Linked DNA regions of Arabidopsis thaliana. The protein of the gene in region 1 interacts with the protein of each later gene in a pairwise test. Each region holds a gene or a part of one and is shown on either strand. Other genes may lie near its edges. The genes, in order: GOX2 and AGT.

Region 1 (5,079 bases):
GACATTATCAAAAGCATCCTGCAGCTCATCATTTCAAGTCCAGCAGCTACTCCAAGAATAAACACAGCAACAGGCACTGCAAGTATGGTTGAAGAATACTGTACATTGTTAGTCAGATATAAGAAGTAAACATAAGACTTATGAGGAACCAAGAGCATGAACAGTTTCTTACTTATAGCCTTCAACATCTGCGCAAATGCAACTGATATGTAGAGGTAGGCAGTGTTTCCCAACCAGAGGGTCATTGCAAACATTGCACCTATTGGAATAACTGACGTAACATATCTGAGTACATAAAGTGAGTTAATACTGCTACATTGATAAAATTAGTAAAGATATTTATGTTATGGGTATTTTCGACTACTCCAAAATCAAATTCCTTACGAAGTCTCTTTCTTCCTTACATTTCTAGTGTCATTCCTTCCTCGACCTTCACAATCTTCATGGAGAAATAAATAGAGAACAGAGAAGGGACCAAAAGTTAGGCAGTCTTTACTTGTGAACAAAAACAGAAAGAACATTAATTGCAAGATTACCTTAAGAACTTTGGTAAGAAGAAAGCACAAGACAGAGGAAAAGATCATATGGAGTAAAGTCAATCCAAGAGGATAAGGGAAATTAATTTCCTTAGATGACAAAACCCACTGCAGCAGAGCAATTCAAAGACAAAAACGTTAGTCATGACGAAAAGAGAGAAACCACAATCTATGAATCGTTACTTGCTACAGATTGTAAAACGGTGAACTCTGATGCATAAGCAATAACAGAGAGGTCAAAAGCAAACACAACACGATCAAACAAAAGCAAACGGATGTTGAATTCTACACAACCGAGGGATTCTAAAATCTGCTAGTCAACTTCCTAGAAACTAGCACAGTACATTGCACATACCAGCTCAATTCCTTACGAAAACTAGCGATCGGTTTCTACAAATCGAAAGAGCACAAAACAATACGATGCGAGAACATAGATCCAGGGAAATATAGATTGTGAGATTTAAGGTAAACCTTATTGAAGAAGATTTGACCACTAGAAAGAGCGATATAGAGAAGAATGTAAGCATAGGTCACGAATTCAGCTCTCATAAAGCCTTTGCTCCGATCCGCCATTGAAACCGATTATTATGATCTCAGATTACGGAATAAAAGTTGTCGCTTCTGGTTTTTATGTAACACTTTTCCGAGTGCTTTTTGTTTCTTTTCCAATCGTCTTCTCCTTCACTGAGTATTTCACTTTCCCATCTTCTCAAATTTCAACAACAGCTAAATAAGAGCGACGGTGACGACTTTAAGTGGGTCCCACTTTTTATTATCCTCTCTCATTTTATGGGCTTTTCTCACATTTAAAGCCCAAATACTGTTGGGTTTATAAGCTATTGTTATGTTTCGTCAAGCCCATGAATTTGGTTCTACCTCGCACACTTTTTTTTGTTTCAGTTTCATCATCCACCCTTGGATATATGTCCAATGAAAAGAAATGAAAATTATTAAGTATTTTTTCTCGAGATTGTGAACGATAATATGAAAGAAATGTAAGGAACACACAAGTTGCTTGTGGATTAGACCACAACCCATCTGATATTTGTCCGCATCTCCACAACCATTCTTCACCTCCAACTTCTCATCCATATTATAATCCAACTTGCCAATAATTTTTTCAACTGTTACAGATTACTACATCAACGAAATATTAAACATTTAACCATATATAAAAGTTGGAGATATATGATATAAGCTTTTCTTAGCAGTCCCACCCTTCCTCTCTCGAGAGAGCTCCATTCCAATCAAAGCTGTGTAAGATTCTGTGTTCTAGACCAAACAGAGACGCGTCTGTGTTCTGGAGATTATAAACATATGTCTGATAATCACAACTGATAACTAACTCGGGGTTTTTTGCTCTTTTGACAGAAACACACTTCAGAAGATGGAGATCACTAACGTTACCGAGTATGATGCAATCGCAAAGGCGAAGTTGCCTAAGATGGTATATGACTACTATGCATCTGGTGCAGAAGATCAATGGACTCTTCAAGAGAACAGAAACGCTTTTGCAAGAATCCTGTGAGTTTTTCTTTTCTTAATAAGATAAGATACACTTTTTGTTATTGGTTTTCACAAGAGAACTGAGTTTGATGTACATAACTTGGGATGTTTTAACAGCTTCCGGCCTCGGATTTTGATTGATGTGAACAAAATTGATATGGCGACTACCGTCTTGGGGTTCAAGATCTCGATGCCGATCATGGTTGCTCCTACTGCCTTTCAAAAGATGGCTCACCCTGATGGTAAAAGACGTTTTTCTTTTTTCCTGAAACAGTCATTTCTAGAGAGTTAAAACTTGTTTTAGTATCACTAGAGACAAAGACTGAGGCTTACTCTAATGGAAACTAATGCAGGGGAATATGCTACGGCTAGAGCTGCGTCTGCTGCTGGAACCATCATGGTATGTTATTATATTCAAAAGAAGATTTTAACCGTCTTGGTGTTTATAGCTGCTTAATCCACCAATCCATGCATAACCAAGTTTCTGGTTTGAGTTATTTTCTTCCATGATGTTTCAGACACTATCTTCATGGGCTACTTCAAGTGTTGAAGAAGTTGCTTCCACAGGGCCAGGAATCCGATTCTTCCAGCTCTATGTAAGTTGCTTGATGAACAATTCTGATATACCTGTGGTCACACGTGATGGTTCACACGTTATGATTGTTCTGAGTAGGTATACAAGAACAGGAAGGTGGTTGAGCAGCTCGTGAGAAGAGCCGAGAAAGCTGGGTTCAAAGCCATTGCTCTCACTGTAGACACCCCAAGGCTAGGTCGCAGAGAGTCTGATATCAAGAACAGGTAAAGCCACATCAATTGAAATGTGATAAGAGTTGATTAGACTCGAATATGCAAACATATAGCTAAACAATTATAGAGTAACGATGTGTGTTCTTCTACTACAGATTCACTTTGCCTCCAAACCTGACATTGAAGAACTTTGAAGGTCTTGACCTTGGAAAGATGGACGAGGCAAGCATCGATCAGATAGTATCCATTACTTAAGTCTGAATAGTGTCAATGATCCACTTAAAAACTAGCTTTAAAGCATACGGTTTGTTTCCTGATTATGTTCCTAAACTTGTTATGTTTCCACCTGCAGGCCAATGACTCTGGCTTGGCTTCGTATGTTGCTGGTCAAATTGACCGTACCTTGAGCTGGAAGGTAAGAGAATACAACAAATTTTCAGATACCACAGCAAAACCAAAAACTTGATTCAGATTGCTCTAACTTTCATCTACAAAAACAGGATATCCAGTGGCTCCAAACAATCACCAACATGCCAATTCTTGTCAAGGGTGTTCTTACAGGAGAGGATGGTGAGTTTCCATTTGCCAAACAAATAATTTCAACACTCTAGTGTCATAGAAATACCTGACAAGGTCAACTATTATTGTCCCCATGCAGCAAGGATAGCGATTCAAGCTGGAGCAGCAGGGATCATTGTGTCAAATCATGGAGCTCGCCAGCTTGATTATGTCCCAGCAACAATCTCAGCCCTTGAAGAGGTAGATCATTCTCGACTACAAACATAAATCTGTGTTCTCGATAAGTATTTATGTACAAGCACATTAGCTTTGTTCTCTTGTGTTCAGGTTGTCAAAGCAACACAAGGACGAGTTCCTGTCTTCTTGGATGGTGGTGTTCGACGTGGCACTGATGTCTTCAAGGCACTTGCACTTGGAGCCTCTGGAATATTTGTAAGCATCACATCATATATCCATTCACCAGAAAGTTGCTTAAAAACAGTAAATATTTAAAATGCCTTCTCAATCTCAGATTGGAAGACCAGTGGTTTTTGCACTAGCTGCTGAAGGAGAAGCCGGAGTCAAAAAGGTGCTTCAAATGTTGCGTGATGAGTTCGAGCTAACCATGGCACTAAGTGGGTGCCGGTCACTCAGTGAAATCACCCGTAACCACATTGTCACGGAATGGGACACTCCACGCCATTTGCCCAGGTTATAGAGAAGAAAAAAAAAACAGAGAACAGAAACAACACGGCACCAAAACGTATTCATATTCTGATTGATCACTTTGCTTCTACTCTGCTATATTTATATCTCGAAAAACTTGTTTCTCCCTATATCGGATCACAAAAACGTGCGTAGAGATTCTCTGTAATGCTATTTGGCTACATTTTACCTTTCCGTTTATTCTTATTGCTTGTACAATAGATGTTGATTCCTACAATACCAATGAATACTAAAATCTGTTCCCGGAAAACTAGTATAGTCAGAAAATCTTACATTGCACCCAACTTCCACAATCCAAACACAGTTCAAATCTTATATTAACAGCAGCCAAAACCTCACAGAAACTAGCTACCAAAAGAGCACAAAAGAATACTATAGGAGAACTCAGATTAAGGAAAGACAGGTTTGTGAGATTTACAATACCTTATTGAAGAAGAATGTAAGCGAATTCATCCTTCACTTTGTGCTGGGCTAAGTATTGCATCGAAAAGCCCAAAATAATTTGGCTCACGAATTCGAAACTCTTGGATTTATGCACTTTTCTGAAAAAAAAAGAAAAACGATTGGTTTACGAATTACTACTATTTTTCTACGAGATTAAGAACGATAATATGTAAGAAAAATCTAAGACACACACCATCCATCAGATTTTTGTCCGTATCTCCTCATCAATTCTTCACCTCCAGCTTCTCATCCATATTTCTTTCTTTCCAATGCAAACAAGTTTTCAACTGTTAAAAGATAAACCAAAAACTCACAAGCCAATTAATCTATCAGAAATATTTAACTTTTAACCAAATAAAAACGTTGAGATATATATAATATAAGCGTTCCTTACCACTCACACACTTCATCTCTCCCCAGAGCTCTATTCCCATCAAGGTGTGTGAGATTCTCTGCTAAGACAAACCAAAAACCAGATTGTTTTGCGTTCATGGACATGTTCCTCTCTGGAGATTAGAATCGTAGCTATGACTATGTCTGAATTTCACAAGAGGTAGCTAACTCAGGCCTTTTTGCTCTTTTGACAGAAACACACTTCGGAAGATGGAGATCACTAACGTTA
Region 2 (5,229 bases), on another chromosome or scaffold:
TCAAATTGATAGTTAGAATTCTTTACGTCCACTAAAACCTTTGCTCCAACTTCTTAACCCATCCCTTTCCATTTTGCTAGGAATATCGGTGAACTGTCTATGGTAGAATCTTTTAGGCATGGTCAAATCATACTTATGATCATATGATATGGCTACAAATTTTTTGTCAATGTCCATATATAGCCATATTAGTTGATTGAATAAGAATAAGTGCTATTATGTCTAAATATTTACCGTTGGTTTGCTATGGGTTTACTCTAGCTATCCGTACGTACGTAGCCATGGTTCATAAATAACGACGTCCAATTAGTTAAAATCAATATACTTAACCCAATCTTTTTTAAAAGAAAATGCTATGCAGTGAAAGTATTCATCATGATGTATAAAGATTAAATCTGTTGAGTAATAGCGTATCGAAACTCATTGATAATTTAACTCAATTTTTTTAGGTTTGGCCAAAAGTTGGGTGTTACATAACGTTCATACAAAAGAAGAGATAAATCTATTTTGTCAATGGTCAAAGTGTTTAAACTAAAAGCGTTAAGACGCAAATACATTTTAAAGAATTTCAATATTTCTTATTAATATGGAGGTTGTATATGCAGAACATTGTGATTACTGACTAGGCATAAGAAAGCATCAACAAGAGTTTCCTTTTGTTGTCACAGATAAGACCCCTCTTGAAATAAGTCTTCTTGATTCATACCGCCAAATGTAGACCTTATATCTCAGTCGTCTTCGACTTCATACCGCGAAATGTAGACCTTATATCTCAGTCGTCTTCGACTTCATACCGCCAAATGTAGACCTTATATCTCAGTCGTCTTCGACTTCATACCGCGAAATGGGACACCTTCTCCCGACTATAGTGTCTTTAAACCAACCTCCATATAAATGGATGAGAGATCAAAATTATCTTTTTTCACTTGACGATCGAGTATCCTCATCCCAAACATAGTTTTAGACTCGAGTTATGTTCCACTAACATTGTAAGAGCATCCCTCATACCCATATAAGTTGAAGTTGTTGAGACAAAGTTTATAGTGAGTAATAAACATATTTGATCTTTTGTTCAATAAGTTTGTTGGAGATAGCAAATAAAAACATAGATAATGTAGTAAAAATATAGATGAAGAAAAGAGAAAACATGAGAGTTTGTTTACATTGAGAGGAAGAGAAAGAAAGAGAAGGACCACATGGATTAGATTCTAGAGGGAATGAGAGGAATGTGGTGCTGAAGATAAGTAGAGGCAGCTGCAACTCCACTTCCCATTACAACTGGGTATCCAACATCCTTCAGTATCATCTCCACTCCCGCAAGACACCCGAGAAGTTGCAACTGCGTTCGATTTGTATTGTTTGATAAGAGTTTGGTCAATGAAAATTGGATTACACTAAGATAAATCTCGATATGTACCTCATTCACATTTCCTAGGTGTCCAATTCTGAAAACCTTTCCAGCCACTTTGTTGAGACCAAGACCAAGACTTAAGTTGTACCTCTGCCATGCCCTTCTCACAATCTCCGAACCGTCTATATGCGGAGGCACCATAACTGCTGTCACTGTGTTACTTATCCATTCCTCCTTCTGTGTGCAGTTTTTCAGCCCCCATGCTTCCACCGCAAGCCTATGTACATGATCATTAACAATCAAACTCTAGCTATAATGTTTTCCAAAGTCAATGTACTAGTAAGAATCAAGATTACGAAGAGGACTAAGTGTATTCATTTTATATGATTCATTTACCTGGTGGCCTTTCCCAAACGAGCATGGCGGGCGATGATGTTCTCAAGTCCTTCCTCAAAGATAAGATCAAGAGCAGCTCTAAGACCGTAGAGAAGTTGAATGGAAGGTGTGTATGGCCAATAGGTTCCTAGCTTGTAAAACTTAAGGTAGTCATTCCAGTCAAAGAATACTTTGAGAGATTTAGAAGTTTTGGTAGCTTCCAAAGCTTTAGGACTGGCGCAGACAATACCAAGTCCTGTTGGAAGAGATAAGGCTTTCTGAGACCCAGTCAAGGCCACGTCCACTCCCCACTCATCCATTCGGAAATCAAGCGCGCAGATGGACGAAACACCGTCCACTAGCAGCAAAGCCGGATGCTTGTAGTGATCTGTATGTAAACCCTAATGTAAGTGAGATTTAAAACAGAGAAAACACAAAAGAAAAACAGATTATTTGTGAGGAATTAATGACCGAGGAGTGTGCGGACAGCAGAGATGTCATTGGTAACTCCGGTCGCGGTCTCGTTGTGGACAATGCAAATGGCTTTGATGGTATGATTCTCGTCTTGTGAGAGCTTTGAGGCCAAGACTTGGAGATTAGCACCTTGTCCCCAATCACTCTCAACCACATCAACATTGAAATTAAGCCTCTTCTGCTGGTCAATCCAGAGCAAGCTAAATTGTCCAATCAGAAACGAAACAATCCTGTCTCCAGGAGATAACGTGTTGGTCAAGGCACTCTCCCAAGCACCAGTCCCGGTCGTGGGAAACAGAAAAGGTGTCCCTGATGTGGTCTTGAATATCTTCTTAACATCCTCCAACAATGTTTTCGTAAGCGCCGGAATGGCTGGTGACCGGTAATCCTCGTTGTTCCGGTTCATCGCCCGGATTACCGGTTCCGGTATGTTCACTGGTCCTGGTACAAACAGATGGTGTCTCCCTGGTCCATACATATAGTCCATTTTTTCCTCTTTTCTTTTGGATCCTCCTCTACACTGTCAAAAACTTACAAACTCACAATCTCATCTTTCACCAGATAATCGAATATAACTCAAACATGTAGCCATATGCATATATGACCATGTAATATGTACTATTGCTACTATCAACTCCGGTGAACAATAACAAATGTTATTTTTTTTGTTAATAACAATAACAAATATGTTAGCCGATCATATTTCCAATAAGACAACATATATGTGTACTATAAAAAGATGTTTCATAGGCAAGATCATAGACACAAACAAGCGGAGAAAACGAAGAAGTAAATTTGCAAGGAAGAGAGAAGTTTAACCTCTGAATAAGGCGGAAGCTCCTGAGGGAGGTTTTGGACTCCTTCGTCTTCACAAACCTCTTTAATATATCTTCTTCTTTTTCTTTTTTTTATTTTATTTATTTATTTTAAATTACATGATGTTTTTGTAAGTAGTTTATTTTGTTATTTAGTTTATCCCAATCAAGTAGCTTGCCTTATTGGAATCTTGGCCGCGTGGCAGATAAGAGCAACGTGAAAAATCTTTGAGCTTACGTATGGCTCACAATGCATTTGTGTTACCTTTGCATATTTGCCCTTCTTCTCTCTTATATTTTTCAGTTTTTCCACATTAGTTTGTTTTGTCGTGTTCAAAATAATAATAATCAAATCACTCTTTTTTTTTAATCAGAGATCAAGACTCTCTTACCACTGACTAATCTTCTTAAAAACTCTTGGTGAGTGTACCCGCCGTATAACCCGCTTACTAAATTTGTTTATTGACGAAGAGTGTATTTAATCTAGTATTTTAAGTGATTTGTGTAAAATTTACAAATTTTATGTTATCTAATTATGGATTTTAATAATTTTAATAATAAAATTTAGTGTTATTAAACTAATAATTTAAAAATTTATTGTTATTGAAAACGGTTTGTCAATTTGATTCTTATTAATTTTGAAAGATTGGAGAAGATTTGAGAAAAACATTTTAGTTAAAAATATAGAAATCCAAATTATACGGTTTTAGATGAAATTTGAAAAGATTTTATAAAAATTCGTATCAACTTTCCTAAAATCATCAAAATCATATAAAAACTCAACTAAAACTCAGATCATTTTCCAATACATCTCCTAAAAGCTTGGTATCCTTTGACTAGACATCATCTTTCATAGTTAATTTCTTACCAAAACTATATAATTGAGTTCAATTACAAGGCTCAGATTTTGTTTAAAGATGAAAGCACTTAAAAACATTAGTCGAAATAAAATAAAAAAATTGGAACCATGATAATAGTATTAGTAAGTCATGCATACATGCAACCTATGTTTACTTAGCCACCACATTTTTTTCTGTAAAATTCAGAATGAAAAAAGGATGATAGTTGGATAAACCAAGAGGTTCTTGGTCTAATAGTTAATTTGAAAGATGAGAATTTTGATTCGAATCCACTTAGTAGGAAAGTTGTTTCCAAAAAAGGTTCCGAACGGTGATCGAACCGCATTGTGCGGTGCAGTGTATGTAGATATTTTCGTTACTATTAGAACTGCATTGTACTTTATCCGCAGTTGAACTGCACGTTACTATTCTGATCCACGAAGATTAGGATCCATCACGAATTTTTTGGCAAAATATATATTTATATAATGAGAGAGTGGGGTGGGAGACGGAGTTGACTTTGAAAAGGTTTGGGGATAAAACAAAATATATAATGGAATTAGGGAGGGATATTGTAATATAAGAAAGTAAGAAAGATAAGAGGTGGAAAAGGGAAGAGGAGAGATAAGGAGATAAAAGGGAGAGAGCCACACAACCTGTTTTTGCAACAAAGACCACACGACCAAACGCCGAATCCTCGGGGCACTTCTTCACTATCTCTCGCTCTCTTGTTTTATGTTTAGGATTATTATTGCACTAGACGACACATAATTCAAACTATATTTAGGTGAATATCTATTGAATGTATAGAATATGGAGACTTTGTAAAATACAAACTATATTTGGCCATACGATTAGGATGTTTGAATTTCTTTTGCATAAAAAAATTGGTTAGAAAAACAAGTTAGAATACAACTCTTTATTACTCAACATTGGAGATATTTAAATGCAAATAAAAGTATATGGAATCATTTTGTTTTAGTGTTTCCACACTGAGATAAAATCAACCTAGCAAAGTAGCAATAAGGTGTCTAAAACAAACATGATCAATGAAAGTCATAACCCTCAACCTATGACCAAGAATATGCATGTTTTGTTGGATCAATGCGAATCCAGAGAACAAACTGTCGACTTGGCAGCTAGAAGGCCCTCTCGAGGGTGATGTCAAGAGCATAATATGTTAATATAGATAAATTCCTAAAGAAATTTTACCTACGTAAATGCCAAGAAAAAACTTCAAGACCCCAAAATCCTTTATGTGAAAGCAAGCCATGAATCATGATACTCCTTAATAACTAAGACCATGTAAGAGGAGATTCTTGTTTTGATGAGACCATCGACATACCCAAAAACATGAAGCGAAACTTGTCTTTAA

Evidence for each region.
Region 2: the proteins of GOX2 (region 1) and AGT interact in a two-hybrid assay, tested with the Arabidopsis thaliana proteins (one large-scale study listed by BioGRID).

The regions. Positions count from the first base shown.
Region 1 is NC_003074.8:4,816,744-4,821,822, forward strand, and holds GOX2 (Aldolase-type TIM barrel family protein), read left to right. Parts: upstream 1-1,554; 5' UTR 1,555-1,793; exon of another isoform or gene 1,794-1,833; intron 1,834-1,907; 5' UTR 1,908-1,923; coding exon 1,924-2,060; intron 2,061-2,159; coding exon 2,160-2,284; intron 2,285-2,395; coding exon 2,396-2,442; intron 2,443-2,560; coding exon 2,561-2,638; intron 2,639-2,715; coding exon 2,716-2,840; intron 2,841-2,944; coding exon 2,945-3,029; intron 3,030-3,141; coding exon 3,142-3,204; intron 3,205-3,289; coding exon 3,290-3,359; intron 3,360-3,447; coding exon 3,448-3,548; intron 3,549-3,635; coding exon 3,636-3,740; intron 3,741-3,819; coding exon 3,820-4,005; 3' UTR 4,006-4,263; downstream 4,264-5,079. Other genes in the region: AT3G14410 (Nucleotide/sugar transporter family protein), read right to left, coding at 1-76, 173-285, 405-439, 537-644, 1,008-1,109; GOX1 (Aldolase-type TIM barrel family protein), read left to right, coding at 5,061-5,079.
Region 2 is NC_003071.7:5,538,216-5,543,444, forward strand, and holds AGT (alanine:glyoxylate aminotransferase), read right to left. Parts: upstream 3,195-5,229; 5' UTR 3,020-3,194; intron 2,721-3,019; 5' UTR 2,688-2,720; coding exon 2,198-2,687; intron 2,115-2,197; coding exon 1,748-2,114; intron 1,629-1,747; coding exon 1,418-1,628; intron 1,340-1,417; coding exon 1,202-1,339; 3' UTR 809-1,201; exon of another isoform or gene 799-808; intron 721-798; 3' UTR 525-720; downstream 1-524. UniProt on the Arabidopsis thaliana protein: Photorespiratory enzyme that catalyzes transamination reactions with multiple substrates, including asparagine. Functions exclusively as a catabolic enzyme in Asn metabolism.